Linked DNA regions of Astyanax mexicanus. The protein of the gene in region 1 interacts with the protein of each later gene in a biochemical or structural test. Links are inferred from orthologs where the notes say so. Each region holds a gene or a part of one and is shown in the gene's direction. Other genes may lie near its edges.

What was found. The genes of interacting proteins can lie anywhere in the genome.
Region 2: the proteins of peli1b (region 1) and ube2v1 form a complex in vitro, tested with the Homo sapiens proteins (3 studies listed by BioGRID). The link is inferred for Astyanax mexicanus from reciprocal best matches to the Homo sapiens genes PELI1 and UBE2V1.

What each region holds. Positions count from the first base shown.
Region 1 is NC_064421.1:30,824,020-30,835,846, reverse strand, and holds the start of peli1b (E3 ubiquitin-protein ligase pellino homolog 1b), read left to right. Parts: upstream 1-6,712; 5' UTR 6,713-7,174; intron 7,175-11,827. UniProt on the Homo sapiens protein: E3 ubiquitin ligase catalyzing the covalent attachment of ubiquitin moieties onto substrate proteins. Involved in the TLR and IL-1 signaling pathways via interaction with the complex containing IRAK kinases and TRAF6.
Region 2 is NC_064431.1:14,975,735-14,986,710, reverse strand, and holds the start of ube2v1 (ubiquitin-conjugating enzyme E2 variant 1), read left to right. Parts: upstream 1-5,405; 5' UTR 5,406-5,537; coding exon 5,538-5,559; intron 5,560-7,766; coding exon 7,767-7,915; intron 7,916-8,761; coding exon 8,762-8,887; intron 8,888-10,976. UniProt on the Homo sapiens protein: Has no ubiquitin ligase activity on its own. The UBE2V1-UBE2N heterodimer catalyzes the synthesis of non-canonical poly-ubiquitin chains that are linked through Lys-63.

The sequences.
Region 1 (11,827 bases):
TTTAGGTTAATAATGCCAAGTGATTAGCTGCTGAGTAGGCAGGCACACCACACTACAATAATAAGAGTCAACAGGCAACTCTGGATATGAGCCTCAAACAGAGAAAATAGCATTCTGAAAACCCTGGTGCCTCTAAACCTTGGACAAGAACTTTTTCACACCATTTCAAGCAGTCTGCAGCACTGAAACTCACAGACTTATGCATGTATAACATGTACAGAATGAGACTGCTTCGTTTTCTTACCCCTTCCTACTTCGGGACGTCCCAAACACTCAGTCAACATATCTGTGCCCGTGGCTACAGTTGCCATGGCTGGCTGACAACAGTGAGAGTCCCCCTCTCAAACACAGAACTGTACGGATATGAAGTGTTCTGTTAACCATGCCAGCGGGGAACCTATCACTTAATCCAGTCACATCCCCCCTCCCCAACCCAAATCCTGTCAGACCACGGTCCCTCACCCCACCCCTCAACTTTCTGTTCCTCTTCTGTTTCCATCTCCCTCAATTTCTGTCCTGCGATGCCCTCCCCTCATCCCCCAGCTCTTGGTTTGACGCAGCTGTTGCTATGTTTTTCATGGTATCACATCGGTAACAGATCCGGACTGACCCAAAATGAGATGGAGACATTTTCCAAATGAGAGTCGAAAAATTGTATCTCTGATCTCAAAACAATACACATTTCATATAACTCAAATTAGGCCAACTAAAAACTTAAAGTCAATTTTTAAACTTGTGAGTCCTATTATTAAAGGGTTTTTGTGAAGCTCCAGAACTATGATGCTATGTATCTCAAATCATATTGGTGTAAAATCCTGTAATTATACTCTACTGCCTCAGTCTGCATATTTCCTTCACTTCAGATGCTACTTCTGTGTCTCTCAGCTAGTCAACAATTGCAAGTTTACAGCTGCCAATGAGTGGATGTTCAAGGTTCTGTTAGTATTCACAGCAGTGGAGAAAAAGTAAATGGCACACCACAAATATAAGAAGTGCCAAGGAGCAAATTATACCTATTTTTGTGTAATGCAACTTGTAAAACTCACAGACATAGAGCACCTAAACAGCACTATTGTTTAAAAAATTTCTTTGCATTTTTTATTTTTAACACAACATTGTGTATCTGGCTGTTATAATATAAATCATATAAACTGCATTTTAAACAGGAATAGTTATTATTGAGCTGCACTGTGATGTCATAATGCATGTGAGTGTGAAAGATCAAAGTGTTGTATGGAACCTTGAGTGTGTGTGTGTGTGTGTGTGTGTGTGTGGGTGTGGGTGTGGGTGCGTGTTCCTGTGTGCGTGCCCTCATGCTTCCTGGCTCAGAACTTTAGAAACGGTGTTGGTGAGGTGTTGGTTTTGTTGCTGTGGCGACGTAAATACAAATGACAGTCAGATGTAAACTGATTTATCTTTGCCATCGCAGGTATGCAGGGTGTGTGTTTGAGCACTTGTGTGTCTGTGTGTGTGTTTGAGTGTGTCCACTGACCCGAGGTCACTGCGTCTTGATGTGATGACGCGTGACAGTTAATCTCAGACTGGGTTGTGTACTGGATTGTTTATTTGTTTACTCGCCTGACTGGCGTCATTATTACTGGACTGGAATATGAGAATGTCATAACATGGCCCAGCTCTGACCTGCTGACCAGAGGGGAATTTCATAAAGCTGGATTTATCAGGAGGCCAGAAACATCAGTTAGGCTTAGTCCTTCAGTTTTAACTCATGGCTTAATGGGCAATTCAACTGATTACTTTTTACTTCTGCATAATTAAATGATTATTATGCAATTAAATGCATATATTTGCATTGGGTTTAGTCCGAACTGTATTTAAAGAAGTGGTTTTCAACTGTTGGGCCACAGCTAAGAGGGTACTTACAGCTTTTGCCGACCTGTTATGTTTTGTAAAATAAAAATTCTAATTTTATAAATGTGTAAACCCCAACAGATGTTTCATAAAAACTTTAGTTTCCTTTCAGAGTTGATTTTTTTATGAGATACTATACTAATAATATACTATAAAATACTCCTTCAAACTTGGACCATTGATTGCAGACAGGATTTGTTAATTTACACAAATAAAAATTTAATTGTTCTACGAAATTCATTCAAGACCATGTTGCAAAAATGAGTACACCCCAATGAAAGGCTAAGGATCAAAGCTAGAGTTTAGACCAAAACATTTTTATTAACACAATTTATACCCCAGGTGATTCTAAATATCGTTGCTGTCCAGTGAAAAACACTTATCTCCAAAACAGCAACTTTACAGGAGAGAGAAAAAAACCTTGTAAACTTTCAATGAAAGTCAATGTAAAAAGAGTTTTGTTTCAGGTCATTTTGAAGCATTTCTATTGGTCCGTTCATCAAGAAATTTTGGCACAGTGTAAGGGACAGTTTGTCTGTTCAAATTATGTAGTAAACCATAAATCTACAAAAATGGAGATAAGTGTTTTTCATTGGACAGCGACGATATTCTTTACACAGGTGCCCAGCATTACTTAACAAAAAAAACTTCCCTTTTCATTCTGTCAACAATGGCAATATATGGAAAAGAGAGACAAAAATACCTGAGATTTTTTTTTTTACACAAGAAAGGTTTAGCCTACAAAGCAAAGCTTTGCTTATCGATACAAGATCAGTAAAGCCTTACTTATCAGTCAGAATACTCAAGCAAATTCATAAAAAAATGAACAAAGATGGAACTGCTACCATCTCACAGAAGTTAACACCTAGACAGGAGCGTCTTCTCGTGAAAAGTGTTGCATAAATTGTCATGTAGTTTAACTGCAGTTAACTAAAGGAGTAGAAAGCTAAACTGGGGTGACTGTTTCCTGTGACACAATATGGCATACACTGCAGAGAAATGACCATAGACATGTATACACAGATGCCGCTTCGACTGACGCCATCTATTGAAGCTGGCATGTCAGCCGGCCGCCATAATGGAGGAGTCAAGCATGCGCCCTCAGTGCATTTAGCAGTACTGAGGAAGGTGTTTAATACACCTATAATCACAACTCTTTTTTTTTTTACCTCATTTTCACACGGTTTGGTTTGTTAATAATGTAGTAATGATACATAATTTCAAATATGTGCTTTTATGCTGAAATACTTACGTATTATGCTCAGACATATGGTATGGCACATTAATAATGTAAAATGTATTAAAAAATAATTTTATATTTATATACATTCACACACACATGGCTTAGGCACGTGGCTTAGGTACACCATGCAGAGAAACTATGTTCCTCCGGACCCATGGTGCAACATGGAACAACAATACAGTAGACAACATACAGTGCAAACGTGCAGCATACTCTTGCATGATTGCGAGTTTAAGTTGGGTTTTAGCAACAATTACTAAACAAAACAGTTTTTTGTTACCGAAGTGGCTGCTGAGACTAGTTGGACTTCCATCTCAAATGTCAAATTATAAATAAAATAAAAAAAACAAGCAAATTCGTTTTCATTATTCTGGCTCTTTTTGAACAGGGTAAGTGTATCATGTTATGTTCAGCATAAAAATAGTAATAAAAGTAAAGATAGAAAAAGAGAAAGACAGAGTTGTGTTAAAGTGCTAATTGGGACTGTGATTTTATCAGCTACTGCAAAAAGATAGCACTTACAGGTGTAATGAGACAGCATCAGTTATAGTCACATGACACTCCTGAGGTATTTTTAAAATGCTTTCCAGTGGACGACAGTGTGCTCATCTTTGGATTGTGTCACAAACCAGACCTCTCTGTTTGCATGTGGGTGTATATTGGCTAATGTGCCCGAATAGCCCTGGGCCTTATGACAGAGCATGGGTTTGTTGGGTGTGTGTGTGTGTGTGTGTGTGTGTGTGTGTGTTTCTGTTTACCTTCACCACAGAGTTCAGTCAGAGGTTTAGTTTATGTGTGTCTGGCCTGTCTGAACATCCTGAGCTGCTGTACGGTGATCATGGTGGCCTATTATTCCTCACAGAGATTTAGAGCTTAAGAGGCTGAACATGTAACCTAGCAGCAATGACAACTATGAATCGGACTAAACAAAACAGTGCATGTACAGTGGCATTCAAAAGTTTGGTCACCTCTGACCAGAGGCGTGCAGACATAGACATCAGGTGGTGCTAAGCACCACCAACTCTGCCCTTTATCAACCAAAGTGCCCTTTGAAATTTCGTTTTTTTATATTATTATTATTAAGATTTTACTGAGGCCGGTTTGAAATCATCTTTTGAAAACCTGAGCGATTAAAAACGAGTGAAAACAGAATGCCCTGAAATCAGCTCGCACACACCCGACCTCTCTCTTCCTCTGTCACGTGACCCCGCGCGGTGGCGCGCAAGGCACATTAGTTGCGCTGCAGCAGCAGTTCAGTTCAGCGAGTCTTCAGCACAGCACGCACGGCAACAGATAGGCTTCTTCTCCCCCGTGTCCCACCAGCCAGGTAACATACACATCAAGTAAAATCGTACCGTTTACCCTCTAAGTCCAACGTGAAATCATTTTGTTGTGCAGTAAAATGTCTCATACAGCACCAAACTACTAAGCATCTTTAGCCGACTGGTCACCAAATAAACTAGCCGCTCTAGCCCAAATCAATGATATATCACATTTTTTTTATAATGAAGTGTTCCACGTGCGCTAAAAAGTGCCCTTTTTCCCCCCTGAGCACACCACTGCCTCTGACCAAGGTAACATTTCTATTCTTAGTGAGTAGAAGATGAACTGATCTCCAAACGGTTAAAAAGTTGAAGATGAAACATTATTTTAAACATTTTAGGCAGGTTTAGTGTACAAAAGTAAAGTAGCATCATACAAAACATACAAAAAGTAGCTCTCAGACTATTTCTATCAAGGTCTTAGAGCTTAATCAATTTTTTAGGGCAATGGCTTATTTATAGTCGTTGTTAGAAAGAATCAGATTTTGCACATTTTCAACCTCTGTAAAGTCTCCTTATCCTCAAACCTAATCTCAACAATCATCGGCCATGGGCTTGCTTCTCTAAGCAGCTGCCTGACACTAAACATTATAATAATAGATGACCTCAAAGCAGGAGAATGCTGTAGGAAGGAGAAGAAAGCAAACATGTTCAGGTGTCCATTTAATAAGAACATTTACAGTCAAGTTGTTGCATGAAAGAAACCAAGAAAGAATTCTGCATTGGTGGTGACACATGCATAAAATATGGTTCCAATTGAAGAATATTAATGAGATTAACACCTCTTCCTCCGCCCTTGCCACAAAAATCCACTTTTTTTATGTTAAATTACTAAGTATTGACCAAGGAGGGTGCATTTCGCTTTTGTAAAATAATGGTATGACCAGTAATGAGCAATAGATAATAAAGCAATGCAGTTTGTGTGATCTCCACAAAAAAAACCAATGTTTCAAATACAATGTTTTTTTCTCTTTTAATAAGGGCCAATCTTGTCGCTTGTCATGTTGACAACAAACACAGTTTGTCACAAAGATTTTCAGCTCTCATTTAGAAACATTTCGGTACAAAACATGGGACTTGAAACATGAAACGTTTCGAAACTGTGTGACGTAACAAAACTTGATTTGGGACAGTCACATGTTTTTTTCAAATCATTTTATTTTTAATTTTAATCCCATTTTTTCTCCCAATTTATGCAGTGTTGATGCCCCACCACCAGGAGGGTAAAGACTCCTCCGATACATGTGAAGTCGGCCACCGCCTCTTTACAAACTGCTGCTGATGCAGCATTGCTGAGTAGCATCACAGCGCACTTGGAGGAAAGCACAGCGACTTGTTTCTGATACATCAGCTCACAGACTCCTTGTGCTGATTGACATCACCCTTTGGAGTGCTGTGGGTACACAGCGCCATCTACCCACTCAGCAAGGCCAATTGTGCTCTCTCAGGGCAGTGTATTGAAACACTGTGATTTAAATAAATCGATTTAACCCCTGAACCTGCTTAATTTTTTATAAACCTGTCCTAACCTTTAAAAAAACACTTTTATTGCATTCATTTCCAACTCTGCAGTGCCCTCACAGGTTCAACTGTGCTATAGGCGAGGATGCTGTGTCTGTGAACTTTGGTATGCAAATCAGTCAATTAATAATACCGGCCCCTGTGGACGTCCAACCATCTTCGTCTCACCACTATCAGAGGCACACTGCTCAGCTTAATCAGCGCTCCCTTCTGTCCACGCCCCTAAACCCATACATCACCCCAGTGTTTCTTAAAAAACTACCCCTCCCATTTTTCTTCTTTTTTTTATTTGAGCTGAGGGTGGAGTCAGGGGGTTTAGTTACCCTTTATAGCTGCAAAGTGTGTGCCGACCTCATATTAAACTCTATGGATTTTATATGAGTTTATATGTGTGAAAAGTCAGACTTTAATGTTTATTTATTAAGTAATTTTTATATTTCAATGATAAAATAGTTATTATAAACAGTCTATATTTAAAAAAAAACATTGTCATTTTCAAGAACGTGTCAGCTACAGTATTTTAACGCTATTTTTTAGTCAGGATTGAGAGAAAATTTTGAATAAAAAAAGGAATTTCAAAAGAGTTTGGCAGAAAATATTAACATTTTTCCTAAAGTTAGCGTCTACATAACCAGCTAACTAACTAGCTGAGGTTTCTCTTTGTTAGCCAGCTGAGCCGGCTAACTACATTTCCCACAATGCATCTGACAGTAATCAGTGACGCTGGCAGCTTTTCTCCCCGTTCTCCATCCACTACACAGCAGCAGCAGCACTCAGTCAGCAGCAGCAGCAGCACAGTGTGTGTTTATGTTCAGAGCTGCAGGGGGAGAGCGGAGCGCCGCCGCCGCCGCCGCTGCTGCACTTATTTATGACCTGCCGTCTGTGGGGAGAATTTAGAGAGCAGGGGTTTCACGAAACCGGGTCAGATACAGAAACCGGGTCAGACCCAGAAACACAGCGCGCTGCTCGCGTGTTTATTCTTCTGACATTTGAAAGAACTCCTCATACCTTGCCTTTGTTAGCAACTTAGCAACTGGGCTAGCTAGCTGTAGTATTGTGTGTGTGTGAACCGTTTTATTGAGCTAACGGCTAACAGACCATTTTTACAGTTTTTTAATTTAAAATTATTAACGGCTGTAACGGACTCCTCTCTGAGAAACGACTAGAAGAAAAGCGGTGCATACAACTAAAGATATAAAAACAAGAAACCAGCGAATTTGTAAGTATCTGGTGCTGTCAGCTTTGTTTCATTTTACGTTTTAGTTGACTTTCCAAGCTGTTTTTGTGTAAAACACATCTTTCATACACTTATTTTCTTTGGGTTAGCTGGCCAAATTCGTCAATTGAAATGCTAACCATGTTATGTTAACATTTTCCCATGAATTAACTAGCTTCTTAGCTGTAATAAAGACAATACAGTATGACAGTATTTTATTGCATAGTGATACAGCGTTAATTTGTTATCGTAATATTCTATAACCTGCACAAGCTTTTTAGTCTATAGTAACACAATATCACGATATCACCGTATTTGTAAGTATCTGGTGCTGTCAGCTTTGTTTTATTTTTTCATTTTAGTTGACTTACCAAGCTGTTTTGTGTAAAACACACCTTTTATACACTTATGTTCTTTGGGTTAATTAATAAAAAGTGTCAATTATAATGCTAACCATGTTTTTTTTATACAATTTTCCACAGAATTAGCTTTTTTGTTGCAATATGTAGCTAGTTAGCTAGTAAGAGATGGACAATACAGTTTGACAGCATTTTATTGTATCGTGATATAATTAGTTGTTGTAATTAATATTCTATAATATACACAATACGTTTTAGTCTAAACCATTTATACAAGTACTAACTCAGTAAGTTACTGTGTTTTAATGGTAAAAACTTAAATTACAGTAATAATACATAAAATATCTGCCTTGCAGTGCTTGTAAGTTCAGATATCAACTATTTAACATGTAGTTCAGCCTGTCAGTGTATTTACATTATTGACTTAAAGTACAATAAATGGACATGACAGTTATAATATACTCTATAAAAGATAATATAATATCTTTAATAACTAACATAATAAGTGACATGCATACACATACACAGTGTTGACTGCAGTAGGTGAAGAAAAAAAAGTAGCTTATATATTTCACAAACTGTAAATTACTATTTATTAAAATGTTGTTGCCCTTAAAAGTTATAATTGCTTTATTATGCTATTCTATTATCATTATATCAGTGTCGTTTAATTGTCTTAAAATGACAATAATAATGTTTATCGCAATAATTTCTAGTATGAAATATTGTCCACACTAAATTCTTATCTTGACAGGCCTACAAGTTATAATATCAGATCTATACTAGTCATATTACCAGGACCACATTATCCCTAATATATTTCTGACTAGTCCTATATTACCATTGATTTACACAGAATTGTACGTACCATTAAATACATAAGTTACCAACATCTATAGCTACTTTTTTTAAGAGTAGAAATTGGAGTTGTATCTCAGCTGCAATGCTGCCTAGTACAAAATCCAGGACTACGTCCGTAAATATATTCCGACTGATACAAATGCTAATGCTAATGAGCATTTAGCTATTGACTGTAATATATATTATACATAATCAAAATTCCATTAAAAATTTGTGCTCCTGGTAATGCAATTAGACTGGTTTTATGGATCTGGTAAAGAAAATCACAGCTATCATCTTACTCTTTGATTAGTTTGGTCAAGCTGGTCATAGTGGTGGATTAGTTTGGTGGACAAACTTCTCATGGTGGTCAACCAGCTCAGTTATACTCAGTGAGTTTGTGTGGTCAAGGTGGCCATGATTGTATGTCAGCAAAACCAGTCATCATCAGCACAATTCAGTAGAAACTTTAGATTTGTTTTATTTTAATTTATTTGACTTTTTAGAAATGATACCCTCAAGACAAGTTCTAGGGTAGTGTTTTTAATAGTTAATGGCTTAAATGGTTCATTCCATTTGCAGCAGTATACAGCTTTTGCGTAGCAACCTGTTGGACCTGTCCTAAATGTAAATGATAATGTTTAAGTACAGCTTTAGATGACTGGATAAAGTGGTTATGTATTTAACAGTGCAGTTTGGATTGGCTTCTGACTATTTGCATTGCCCTCTGGACTGTTGTGTCGGGCTATTGTTCTGCTGAATTTCACCCCCCCACCCTGGGGTGATTTGCATAGTCAGATAGCGTCCTCCAGGCTCAGCATCTGGCTGGCCGAATGGGGCTTTTGTTCCGTGTTGACGTGCTGCTTTGAATCACTTTTGTTGACATCCTTAACCCCCCCTTTCCCTCAGGCCTTATGGACGACCAGGAGTCCGCTTTGTGTGGAGCTCTGCTTAAATTATTATTCTTCAGCTCTGGTTGCCAATCATTGATGTGTATGTACTGTTGGTTTCTGACATTGGTGAGCTTGTTCGCTTGCTCGATTTCTTTGGACATTATTATACTTTCTGCTTTGTGAAAACAAGCTAAAATATTTCATGCTGCTTTTTTGTAGCTTTACCAACTAATTATTATATATATATATCTTTTTTTTTGTACTAAAATCTAAAGAAGTTCATCACGTCAGTTAAACTGTATGGTTCAGAAAAAAATGTAACTTGTGGGCCTATTTTTTTTTTTAACGACAACAAAAATGGAAAAATCTATTCAAAATTTAGAATGAATTAAAATCTAAATCTCTCATATCTGAAACACACTTTTAGATTGTTCATCTGTGGCACATTTATACAAAATTACATCGTCTCAGACCAGCCAGAACACGCATAGAGATTTTTTTTTTCCTCCTCATCATTTTAAATTACGATGTTGGGCACGGATGGGTTAAAATGTTTAACGACCCATGTTGAAACACCTTTTTGTGCAGCCTGGACATTGATGGAGCTCCTTTTCCTGGTCCAGCTGAGTCTGCGGAGTGCATTGGCTGGAGGAAAAGGGTGTGGAACATGCCTTTCTAATGCAATCAAATAAACACGGGTCCTTGAATGCTGGCGCCCAGCCAGTGGTGTCACTTTCCACTCTGAAATATAGATAAGAGACCTGACTTACTGCGGGGAAACTCAGCACGGGCCGCTCCGAAACTGGTGTCGTCATCCTGATTCACTCGAAACCCAAAGCCAGTTTGCTCAAATTGTTCAAAAATGGAATGGAATGGGAGAAGAGAGTAGCATAAATATTTTACTGGAACTTAAGATCTTAGACCTTCATAGCTGGCCTTTCGTTGTTTATTTTTTTCTGTCGTTTTAGTCTGGCGTCAGATATCTATCATATGAAGCAGAGTATCCTGTCAAACCTGGTCTGCAGACAGTCTTATGTAAGAGATTTAGAAATGTGTATGTCATAACATCTAGTCATAGGGGTTAATTGATGAGAATCTAAAAAGTTATTTTAATTACTTACATTTACATTTTTTAAACATTGTAAGCAGTAATGAAAAGCATGGGTGACTGATGTTGGGAGCAGCAAGGGTCAGGGGATTTTCTTGACCTCAATTTAGGGTTATTAGCTGAAAAACTGGCAGCTGCCTAACTTAAAGCATTATGGGGTGGCAGCACTTACCGTGTTTGTTTCATGTTTAGCTGCTCTAGGCAGTAGATTGCACTCTAGTTCATAGATCGGATCAGCTCAGTGTCAGCATTGGCGTGGAAAGGTGATATCTCCTCTAAATCCAGCTGGACCTGCAGATCAGATAGCTGTGAGGACGTATAATGGCTTGATAAAAAAGACCGGAAGGGAAGACTCTTCTGCCACAGCTCTATAAAGGTTTTAGGCATCTAATCACATGTATTATAAAAAGAATTCTCTCAACAAAAATAGTTTAATTTAAAGTAGTTATCAAGAATACTTTTAATCTAATATTAGAGCTAATCAACACTTACTGCCCAAATAAAGAGTCCTTGAGACCATGATAATGTATTCAATTCGAGCAGCCTGAGGATGAATCAGTCATAACACGGTCATAACTTTATTTCCTCTGCTGATACAGCTCTGTCACACACTTTTTTTTTTGCCCTGTAACATCACTCACTTTCTCATGCTACGCCACCGTTGGAGAAGCCAAAACGGAAAAGATTTGCAAGTGTGTTGCCCACCTTTTCTTTAATTCAAAGAAAAGGTTATGCTGGTTAAATGGATACCGTGTGAAGAAACCTGGTACTTTTGAGGGGGAATGGTGCCAGATAGCTCCAGGATGTACATTTGTCATGAGAAACAGCTGGCAAGCAGCATTGTTTTGATGCATCACACTTGCGTGATGGAAATAATCAGGTGTTGTATAGTTGTATAAACTTATGTTGAACTTGCAAGACAAATTCTGTTGTATAAATATTACTATAGTCAGTCATATATGATAATAGTCAGTGAAACCAGCAGAATAGTCTCCTTATTTACCAACTTGTTGAGGATATATATAGTTTATAGTTGTTATTAGGATTGTTCCATTGTTAAAATATGTAATGTAAGGGTTGTTGGCATATTTTCATCATAAGCAAATTAAAATTTGATGGTTTTGTTTCAGATGTTTCATATTATAGAGAAGAAAATCTGAATATTTTTAATCAGTTTTAGCAATTTTACTGGACATGCTCTTTTAAAGCTGCAGCTTAGTGTAGTGTTTGCTTCATCTATTCCCCATCACTATTTATTTTCAGGAAGGAATCTGCAGTGTTGCATCATCCCAGATATTTTTTCCAATGTGGCTATCCTGCAAGTTTGGTCTGCCTGTGCGTGGTGAAGTTTAGGGGATTATGATTGTAGTGGAAAGTGGGTCAGACAGTGGGGACATGAGCGGGTGGTGGTTTAGTACTATATGTAGCAGAAAAAATTGTGAGCTGATGTCCAATA
Region 2 (10,976 bases), on another chromosome or scaffold:
CCTGGGTACTCGAACATGGAAAACCATCCCGTTCTACTCGGGGACCATAAAACGCACAAGATCAGGCATGTAATATGTATAATTCAATGATTAATATGCCTTACTGCATATTACATTTAACACACCTTAACCTTAGGAACAATGGTGTCAGAAGTGGTTGTGTTCAAATTGGATAGAAAGCTACGATAGCTCCTCGAAACTGAAGACTGTGCCTTTCAAAAAGAGTAAATCAGCTTGAAGTTTGCTACTAGTGCTAAGTGTCCTAAACGTCATTCTCCTTCTTAGTACACTATATGGCCAAAATTATTGGGACGTCTGCTAAACTCATTTATCTTTACTGTCATAACTTAAATGAAGGGTATTAAATTAGTTTATCTGTGTTTTGTTGGAGTAAAAGATTCTGGTGTAAAAGCCTTCAGCAACAGGAGTACTGGATAGATCTCAATCATTCTCAGTTCTAGAGGGCTTCATACTCCTAGACTGGTCCACACCTCGCATTACTTGGCACGGTACCAGTAGGTCAATGTTGATCTGAGTCCTATTCTATTGGCAATCCTTCTCTACACTGACTAGACAAGCTGTTTGTGTTCATTTGCACATCTTTGTCAGCGGAAGTGAGTGCAACCTCCAAGGACCTACATGCCTTCATTAATTAGGGGTATCCATACATATATGGACATATATAGTGTATGTATTTTCAGTCTGAAGGTTTTGGAGATGGAACATTGGTAGGGTTCTGGTTTGTCATGTAGCGCTGAAAGGTTTGAACTGGTTTGAAGAAAGTTGGTCACATGGTCTAATGTCAAAGGGGCCTTATGTCTCTCCTCGCCTACGTCGTGCACCAGTCTGACTATAAGGGGAAATCTATAATCTTATTTTCTTATTTTTCTTCTTTTTTTTTTAAGCAATCTAGATAGTGAGACCCAAATATGTCATACATTTAATGAGACTGTGCGTTTAATGTGTCGACACCTTTAAAGCGTTTAATCCGCTATAAAATGCATTATTTATTTATTTATTTTAATAGATTTACAGCAGGTTGACTCTGTTTAAACACTGTTGCAGGACGTGTATATTCATTTTAAGCTTTTATTTTTATTACATTGCATCTTAATTAGGCCTGTCACAATAATTACGTTTGGTACAATATCAAAACATAATTTATATAAACAAGGACAGCCCATTATTGTGAATAGAGAGAGAGGTTATATATATTCAATACAAATCTGCATTGTAGATTAATATTACTGTCATCCAAACTATGAAGAAAAACATATAGAATTATTAATAAACAAAACAAATAAGTGTTTTGTTGTAAAGCAGTAGAGTTGGTTCAGCGCTCCTAAAAAAGGCTGTAATTGCAAGATTATGCTGTTTTATTATCATTATATGATGACATGATAAAATGACAGATCTTGACAAATCCTAAAATGACAATAATACTGTTTTTCTCAATTATTTGTGAGTATATTAATACACCGTCCATATAAAGCTATTGTGACAGGCCTATTCAGAATAGTCTGCCTCATCATTAAAACGTCATTTCCCTGTGCTAATATCAATTAAGTGACAACATTTGCATTGTGGGTCATGTTAATACACAAAAACTAAAGAAATACAAGAATGCTCGTTCAAAACTCTAAATATACAGATGATTAAAGAGATCATTGACGATTATTTCAGATGCTGCCCTTTGTGGTATAATTACTATCATTGTGTTCATATGTTCATAATTTTTATAAATATTTGTATTATTGTGACTGCTGACTCACCCACACTGTTCAACAATTAAACTACTGATTTCTTCTCTCTCTGTATGCGTGCATGTCTGTGTGTGTGTGTCTGTGTGTGTGTGTGTGTGTGTGTGTGTGTGTGTGTGTGTGTGTGTGTGTGTGTGCGCGTGTGCGTGTGCGCGTGCGTGTGCTAAAGAAAGCCATATACACTCATACCTGCTGTTCATTTCTGTAATATAAAGTTGTTTTTAATATTCTGAATTTTGAACATCAGTAATCAGTCGGTTCAATATCTGTGAACGAAATTTTGTGAGCAATCAAAATGGTTTAATTACAGATGTTTTTTGTTTCTTTCTTTGTTTTGGTTGTGGTGAGCAGAAAGAAGGGGCGGGGTCTTTTTATATGCAAAAAAAATCTACAAAAAAAATGTAAAAGGGGAATCAAAGAATGGTGAAAGGGTTTGTAATGTATCCATTAAAAAGATCTAGTTTTAGGACTGCATGTTAATAACGACACTGTACTAACAACTAACGTACAGCTACTCTGTAAATACTGTTATTATTATTATTACCGGTATTATTATAATTATAATTATTATTTTCATCCTGTAATCTCAACTGATGAAAGTGATGCAGTGTGAAAAATTGGGTGAGATTGTATTTTTTTTTTCATTATTGTCTTTTGCATTTGTATCTTTAATTTTGGTTCAAACTCTCAAACTAAAATTCTACTGGGGCTTTGTTTTTCTGTTTTAAGTGCACATTCATTGCTTTGATTGATTTGTAGTGAAGGAAAACCAAACCACCAATTCTCTTCATTTTATTATGTCATTTAAGTAAAAGTTAATATAGTTTGTATATTTATATTTAATTTTTCTTGTTTTGTTTTTTTCCAGAATACTTCAGCATTAATCTGTCATGCTTTTCTCGTAAACGTAATAGACACATTAACTTAAGAAGATTTACAGCAATAATAATATCAGACTCTATAAACGATATAGACTGTAGACTATAGATAGAAGCCCGTAAGGAACTGTAGCTACGCTTTGACCTGATATTTCTGGAGCAATTTTTTTTTTTCAGTGCCATATTTTGACTAATGTACTTGATTTGTTTGTGGTTCTCAGGTATTAATATCTGAATTGTGTATGTTGGCCTTTTTATAATTCACTTTGCTTTTAGAGAAAGGAACATTGGTTATAATAATATTATTTTATTACTGCATTATACTATAATTTAGCTTGTTTACAACCAGAGACAGGACCGTGTAACATTTCAGTTAAATTTTCTGACCGAGTCTAAATTTGAAGACAGTAAACTGGGGTTTCAATCATCCAATTTTATTTTTATTTCTTAAAAATTGCCTGATGGAGGAAAACCTATTTTTATACAAAATATACAGTCAGAAAATTTAACTGAACTTGTTATAAGATGCAAAAAAATCTAAATAATTTCAGAAATTGCAAGAAGATTTGTTTTCTCATTTTTCCTAGAAAATTGGAAGACTAAACTGATGAACATTAAACTGACCAAAAATGTTTAACATAGAAAGAACATTTTTTTCCTTTTTTTTTTTCTAAAAGGCTAATGTGCTAACATGCAACATCAGAACAGCATGAACTGTTAGCTTTTATCTAGTGACACATTTGCATCCAGTTATTCTTTAAATTCTGAGATTTTATTTGGTCTCCAGGTCTTTCTCTACTGTAAAATCCTTGTATAATAAAAAACATTGAGTTTCTCAAAGCCTATGCAGAAACTAGCCGGCTCACTCCAAACCGCCGGCCGTCACTCCTCCCGCCATGCCGGAATCATTTTGTAACATTAAGCTGTGGTGAAGACAATTTAAGGGAAAGAACACAAAATCAATATTGTAATTTAATTGAATTAGTTTTTGTTTGTTTTAATTTTGTTTTGGGGTTGTTGTGTTTTTTTTTTTTTTTGCTTGTAATCTAGTTTGTTCAGGATGGGTCTTCTTCCATTGTATGTTGTCATTTTCAGTGGATGTGCAATAAATTATAATTCAAGGCTGTTTTGTAATACAGCTCTGTGTGGGTGTCTTCTAATTTTCTACAATAAGTGGAGATATGAATCATAAGACTGCAATTGTTAACTATTAAAAAATTAACTGAACTATAGGAGATATAGAGTGTTAGAGCAGCAGAACATGCTAACCCAAGCATAAAATATTAATATTAGTGTGTATTTTTCCTGTGGGGGATTATTTTAATTTATTAATGTGGATGTGTTTCGGCTGACCGTGTGTTTCCGGTTCCTGTTGTACCGCTGGAGCCCAGCAGGGGGCAGAAACTCATCATATAATGATCATCGATAATGAAGCTGCAGTCCTGCTGGAATATACTGCACACATACATACATTTACTTTAATTATTTATTAATTTCAACAGTCACGGGGACTGTTGTTTACAATAATTGTTTATAATTGTTTACAATTAACCTTCACTGAAGGTGAACTTTATTTACCGTGCAGCTAATCAAGCCAATACATCAAATATGGACTAAAAATTAGAGACATTAGACATTGTCCTGCTGCAGAACCCAAGTTCGTTTCAGCTTGAGGTCTTGAACAGATGGACGAACACTCTCCTTCAAGAATTTTTGGTTGACAGCAGACTACATGGTTTTATTTACCACAGCAATTCGTCCAGGTCCTGAAGCAGCAAAACAGACACAGACCATTACACTACACCCACCAACACGTTTTACTGTATAATATGGTGTTACACCAGATGTAATGGGAAACACACCTTCAAAAACGATGTCTAACTTTTGAGAATCTTTTGGTCTACTGGGTATGGCAAGAGAAATTGAACTCAGGTGTGATAAACCACAGTTATGTTTCAACTGGGGGACAAACACTTTTCCACACAGGGTAATGTAGGTTTGGATTTCTTTTCTCCCTTAATAATGAAAACCTTCATTCATAAACTGCATTTTTAACTAATATTTGAATTTGTTTAATAATCTGAAACATTTAAGAGTGACAAACATGCAAAAAAAAAAAAACATTTTTAAACCACTGTAAATATATTTATTGCAGTATATTGATATATAGTATTGAAGTGGGTAAAATTGGTTTCTTGCTAAGCAAAACATTTATTTATATAAATGTGAATTACTGGCATTAACAACTACAATAATAATAATAAAATAATAATTATGATTATTATTCAAATAAACAATTAAATGATAATTAAATAAAATTAAGTAAATGCTAACAGTGTCCCAGAGTGATCAATTTACTGCATTATGCTCGTAATTATTATTTATGTGCTGTTTGCAAAAACAGTGTCAGTCCTGGTGGGAGGAAGAGATGAGGTAAGGTTTTGTTTTGGGTTGGCGATTCAATATTATTATTATTATTATTATTATTATTATTATTATTAATAATACAAATATTATTATTTTCATTGTATTTGTAACTTGTAATGTTATCATTACTGCCTTTTTGTTCATGCTCTATTAAATACCTCATTGTGGCCTGTTATTGGTGGTTTTGATAAACAATTATTTATTATTAATTATTATTTTTATTTAATTATTATTATTATTATTATTATTATTATTATTATTATTATTATTATTATTATTATTATTATTATTATTATTATTATATTGCAGTGAGTGTAGGCAGTAGGGGGAGAGGCAGGGCGCGGCGGATATTGGGACAGACCCAGAGTGAATCAGGACTGAGGGAGGCGCGCTATACGCGTGAACGCGCCCTCATCCGCCGCGTGCCCGAGAAGAATACGGAGCGTGCGCGCTCCCGCTGCTCAGCGACAAGATGGCGGCGGCCGCCGGATCAGGTAAACCGACTCAGAAGCTAAACGTAGGTTTAATCCGGGCGGACTCGCAGAATCAAACCCGAACCGGAGCCGCACCGGAGCTGCGCGCGGAGCGAACCCGCCGGTCTGGCGACGCGGGTTCCTGCGGGGAGGCTCAGCGCGCGGGTCCGTGGGCGCGAGGCGGCGGGGCTGAGATCGGGATTTTACCGCTGCCGCCGCGCGCAAGGCTTAACCTGTTCCGTTGGGCCGCTTTCACGCGCTGTTCGCTGTAAACTCGGTGTTTTAGGGGGAGCGGGGTGAGGGGGAGGTTGGGGGGAGTGGGGCGTGGACCGGCTCGCGAGCTCGCGTGGCTGCAGCGCGATGACGCGGAAAGAACTGGAAGCTTCTCGGAAACAGCAGCACACCTGCGCGCGCGCGCTCCAGCCCGCCCTGATCAATATATTAGAAAGAGCTGATTAAACTCCAGAGATTTATCATCATTATCAGGATTTATCCGTTTATTATTGATTAGGATCAGGGAGCAGGAGGGTGGGCCGGTTTGTGAGATGGCAAGAGTTGTATGACTGGAGCTGATGAATATATTGATTGATTGATTGATTGATTGACCGATTGAATGATTGATTGATTGATGGATGCACAGGGAAAGCAAATACATACACTAGTTAGTTGATCTGTAGAAATTCAGATTGATGCACTGTGAACGGCTGATGGAGGTCCCGTTGCTTGCAAAAGTATTAATTCCCCTTGAACTTTTTCACGTTGTGTTATCTTCTAAACACAAACTATAATGTAATTTATTGAGATATTAAGTGATAGACCAACACAAAGTAGTGGAACGAAAATTTAGAAAACCTTTTCAAGGCCGCAAAAGACTTGAAACCTTCTATCAAGACAATGACCCTAAACATACAGCCAGAGCTACAGTGGAATGGTTTAGATCAAAGAATATTCATGTGTTAGAACAGTCCAGTCAAAGTCCTGACCTAAATCCCATTGAGCTTCTGTGGCAAGACATGAAAATACAGACGCTCTCTATCCAACCTGGCTGAGATTAAGCTATTTTGCAAAAAAGAATTACAAAAATCTCAGTCTCTTGGTGCACAAAGCTAGTAGAGACGTACCCAGAAGACTGCTGCTGTAATTGCTGTAGAATGTGGCTCAGTATTGATATAGGGAGGCTAAATACTTCTACTCTTTGCACTTTTCCGATTTTTATTTGATTGCATGATTTTGAAAATTGTGTATAATTTGCTCATTTATGTTGGTCTATCAATTAAAAAAACATAAATTGATTATATTGACTAATTGTTGCAGCCCTAGTTTAAATACTTTTGATTGCAAAATAGACTATTTGATGAGAGATATCAATAAAGGCACTATTATTTGGGTGCAATGACATTGGCATGGTGGTGGTGATGGTGGTGGTGTATGAGGTGTTGGTGTGTGTTGTATATATTGTAGCAGATTGGTAGGAGTGTCTGACAGAGTTGAGGACAGTGAGTGAACACAGTTTAAAAACTCCAACAGCATTGCTGTATCTGATCCACTGGTACCAGCACAGCATGCACTCATGCACTAATCTCATGTATGTGGAGGTGTTATTGGTATTGAAAGGTATTGTGAGTTTCTGCAGACTAATTTGGCAGTCAGTCTGCAGTGCATGCAGATGAGCTAGTCTGAGCTGCACTGCAGGACTAAACCAAACCTCCAGGATGTTTTCGTGACCCCCCTCTAATCTTGATTCTCAGCAGTGGTGCTTAAATTCACTGCAGCAGGAATCTAAACAAATCCAAACCACAGGACTATTTTTTTGCCACACTACCCCCTTCATACCTGTACTGTTTTAGTGATATGCATTTTGTGAACATTGTAGTGTGGGATGTGTTTTCATCGCTATTGTTTGCTGTAACAATTTTCTATGTGAGTGAGGTTTAGACATATGCTTTCATTTACCATCTAAGTTGGTGATCGTCCTTATTAGGCTTGTCTCTATGTACCTTTGTTTAAGCTTTTGGGACAATTGGGATGAGTTTCAGTGCACAGCACTGAAACATTTTTAGGGACTACTTTTTTATAGCATATGTATTCCTCCACCATTTTAATGATATGTTATTTTAAAAACACATTTTTGGATTCAGAATCTTCTCAAACTTGGGTGAAACAGTGTCAAGTATACTGTGTATTCATAATTATTAATGTAATAACTTTTTGCTTTTTTATCATTTTAGGCGTCAAAGTTCCTCGTAACTTCCGGCTGCTGGAAGAGCTGGAAGAAGGCCAGAAGGGCGTTGGTGATGGAACAGTGAGTTGGGGTCTGGAGGACGATGAGGACATGACACTCACACGCTGGAGAGGCATGATCATTGGACCTCCCAGGGTGAGTGTTACTGCAGAATAATCAGACATCTGTGCGACCAGCTAAAGTACTTCCAACATTCTGAACTGAATTATATTTGGTTATGTTGGGGTCAGCTTGTTTTTCTCCTTTACATTTTACTAATGCACTGCACTTAAATAATACTTTTAAAGCAAAGATTGTGTTGCCGTCTCTTGTCACAGTGAATAAATCTGGTGATTTTAACAAGGAATCAATTGCCCGTTCTGTTTGCCTACCAGCTCTCATTTTATTTCGATTTCTGCCTTTCCTTTGTTTAGCAATGTGTTAATGAGCAGATTATTATTAAGTTTGCTATTCGAATATCCCCATGTACACTGATCTGGTATCAGCAGCCTGCTACCATCATAACGTGGGTTTTAACTTTTAACACAGCCTCTGCAGTTAGTAACTCTGATAATCACCAATAACTGTTGTTGAGAGACCTTTAGAATGAATATATGTGGTTTTGCAGGAAAGGTAGCAAAAGCACACTGATACTTTTTACTATAGAATTTTGGCACCTCCCCACTCAGGAATACTCCTACTTATAGTTTTAAATGAAACTTTTTTTTTTTGTCTTTTTAATTATTATTATGTTTAATAGTTGTGTTAAAATGGCACCAAAACCAAAATGCTACTGTGTCAGTGAAAATATAAATTACAATAGTGATGGGGTTGTTTTTAAAGGAAGTGGTTAAAGTCAGCGCTGTTGCCTACTGACTTGTGTGCAAATGATGCCAGATCGTACAAATAAAATATTGATTGAAATTTTATATAAATGAGAGAAACCTATGATTGACATTATGATTATTCCTGTCACTCACATAATTCTCTGTACATCTCCAGACAATCTACGAGAACAGGATGTACAGCTTGAGAGTGGAATGTGGACCTAAATACCCAGAGACGCCTCCTTTCGTACGATTTGTGACCAAGATAAACTTAAATGGTGTGCATAACTCAAATGGTGTGGTAAGTAATGATGATTTGATTGTGTTGTATTGTTATACAGTGAACGTTTTTACACTATAGTACAGATCTTGCTAGATTAGTGTAGTTAGATTGTGTACAGTATGTAGACCTTCACCATAGTACAGAGTATAGGACACATCCTGCTCTTTAGTAACATTAGATTGTGAAAAAGTACCCATACATTTATTATTCAGCAGTTTTTTTTAAATAGCTTAAATATAGGGGTGTGACGAGACACTAATATCACGAGACGAGACACGATACTGGGTTCACGAGAACAAGACGAGATTGAATAAAAAGAATAAACTATAACTGACTTTTATTTGACAATCATATAACGCAAACTTAACAGACTGGTTGCTCTCACATATTGATTTGATAAGAAATAGAAATAAGAATAAGGATACAAAATAAAAATAAAACTTATCTAGGTCTTTTATAGTGCAAACAATAAGTGCAAACCACAACCAGTCATATTAAGTTTATGGTTTGTGTTTTATTTCTCCTAAATCTCTTGTAGTTTAGCTATGCATAACCATAACCAGTCATATTAAGACTATGCTTGAAGTGCAAACAGAGACAGAACATTTTTTTAAATACAGTACAAAGTTAAGGGATTAGTACAGCTGCCTATGAAACAGTCACATGTACGATTTACTTACAGTATTTACTAGGGCGGTGATTCTTTGGGACAGTAAGAGGACTGTCTCACGGAGCTCTTTAACTGTCTCGCGAAGCTCACCTACTATCGCGCGGAGCTTTTTAACTGTATCGCAGAGCTCATACTGTCTCGCGGAGCTTTTTAACTGTACTGCGGAGCTCATACTGTCTCACGGAGCTTTTTAACTGTACCGCGGAGCTCATACTGTCTCGCGGAGCTTTTTAACTGTATCGCAGAGCTCATACTGTCTCGCGGAGCTTTTTAACTGTACTGCGGAGCTCATACTGTCTCACGGAGCTTTTTAACTGTACCGCGGAGCTCATACTGTCTCGCGGAGCTTTTTAACTGTACTGCGGAGCTCATACTGTCTCACAGAGCTTTTTAACTTTACTGGGGAGCTCACCAACTGTCGTGCGGAGCTTCTTAACTGTACCGCGGAGCTCATACTGTCTCACGGAGCTTTTTAACTGTACCGCGGCGCTCATACTGTCTCGCGGAGCTTTTTAACTTTACCGCGGAGCTTTTTAACTGTACCGCGGAGCTCACCTACTGTTTTTTTTTTTGTCACACCCCTACTTAAATATATTTATAAGATATTATAAACCTTGCTTTTTTAACATCCTAGCAGACGTGCCAACAAAGCACACTCTACAGCTCTCTACAGATCTCTAGAGCTCTTACCTTTTATTTAGAAACCAGCCAGTTTGTAAAGAGGCAGTAAACTAGTGTGACTGCAATTGAATTTCAATTGAATTCTCACTTTTATAAAATGGGGCTTTGAGTGGTCCAGCAGACTAAGGTGCTGCCACTATGGTCCAAGAATCGCTGGTTTAAACCCAGGGTCATGCTGCTTGCCATCGGTAGCCAGAGCCTGAGAGAGTACAATTGGCCTTGCTCTATTTAGGTAGGTAGATGGCGCTTTCTCCATACAATACTCCCAAGTTGATGTCAGCCAGCAGAATGCATCTGTGAGCTGATGCATCGGAGCTGAGTTGCTGCACTTTCAGTCCTTTTAGCCTACCCAGTGGTTTGAAAAGAGGCGCTGGCACTTTCAGTGTTTAAACACAATTTCAGATGCCAAATATTCAACACATCCCTGTTTTCTGCTCTTTTAGCTAGGCAATATTATGATGTTTTATTACACTTTATTATGTTTTAAGCATATCAAGAATGCTAACAATGCAAAAGGAACACTGTCCTAACTGAGAGTTTCATTGCAAATATTGCAATTGATTCAGTTCTTTCTGAAATAATTATTGTGAGTCACAAATATATTTTTAATACTGTGAGGTTTATTACCCTGGCACCCTGAGTTTCTATCACCCAGGCATAAATAAGCCTCCATACTTTCATTACAGTACAGTTTCTGCTCTATTTTTATATATATTAATATTAGCAATATCGATTAGCAATGGCGATGTTTGTTCC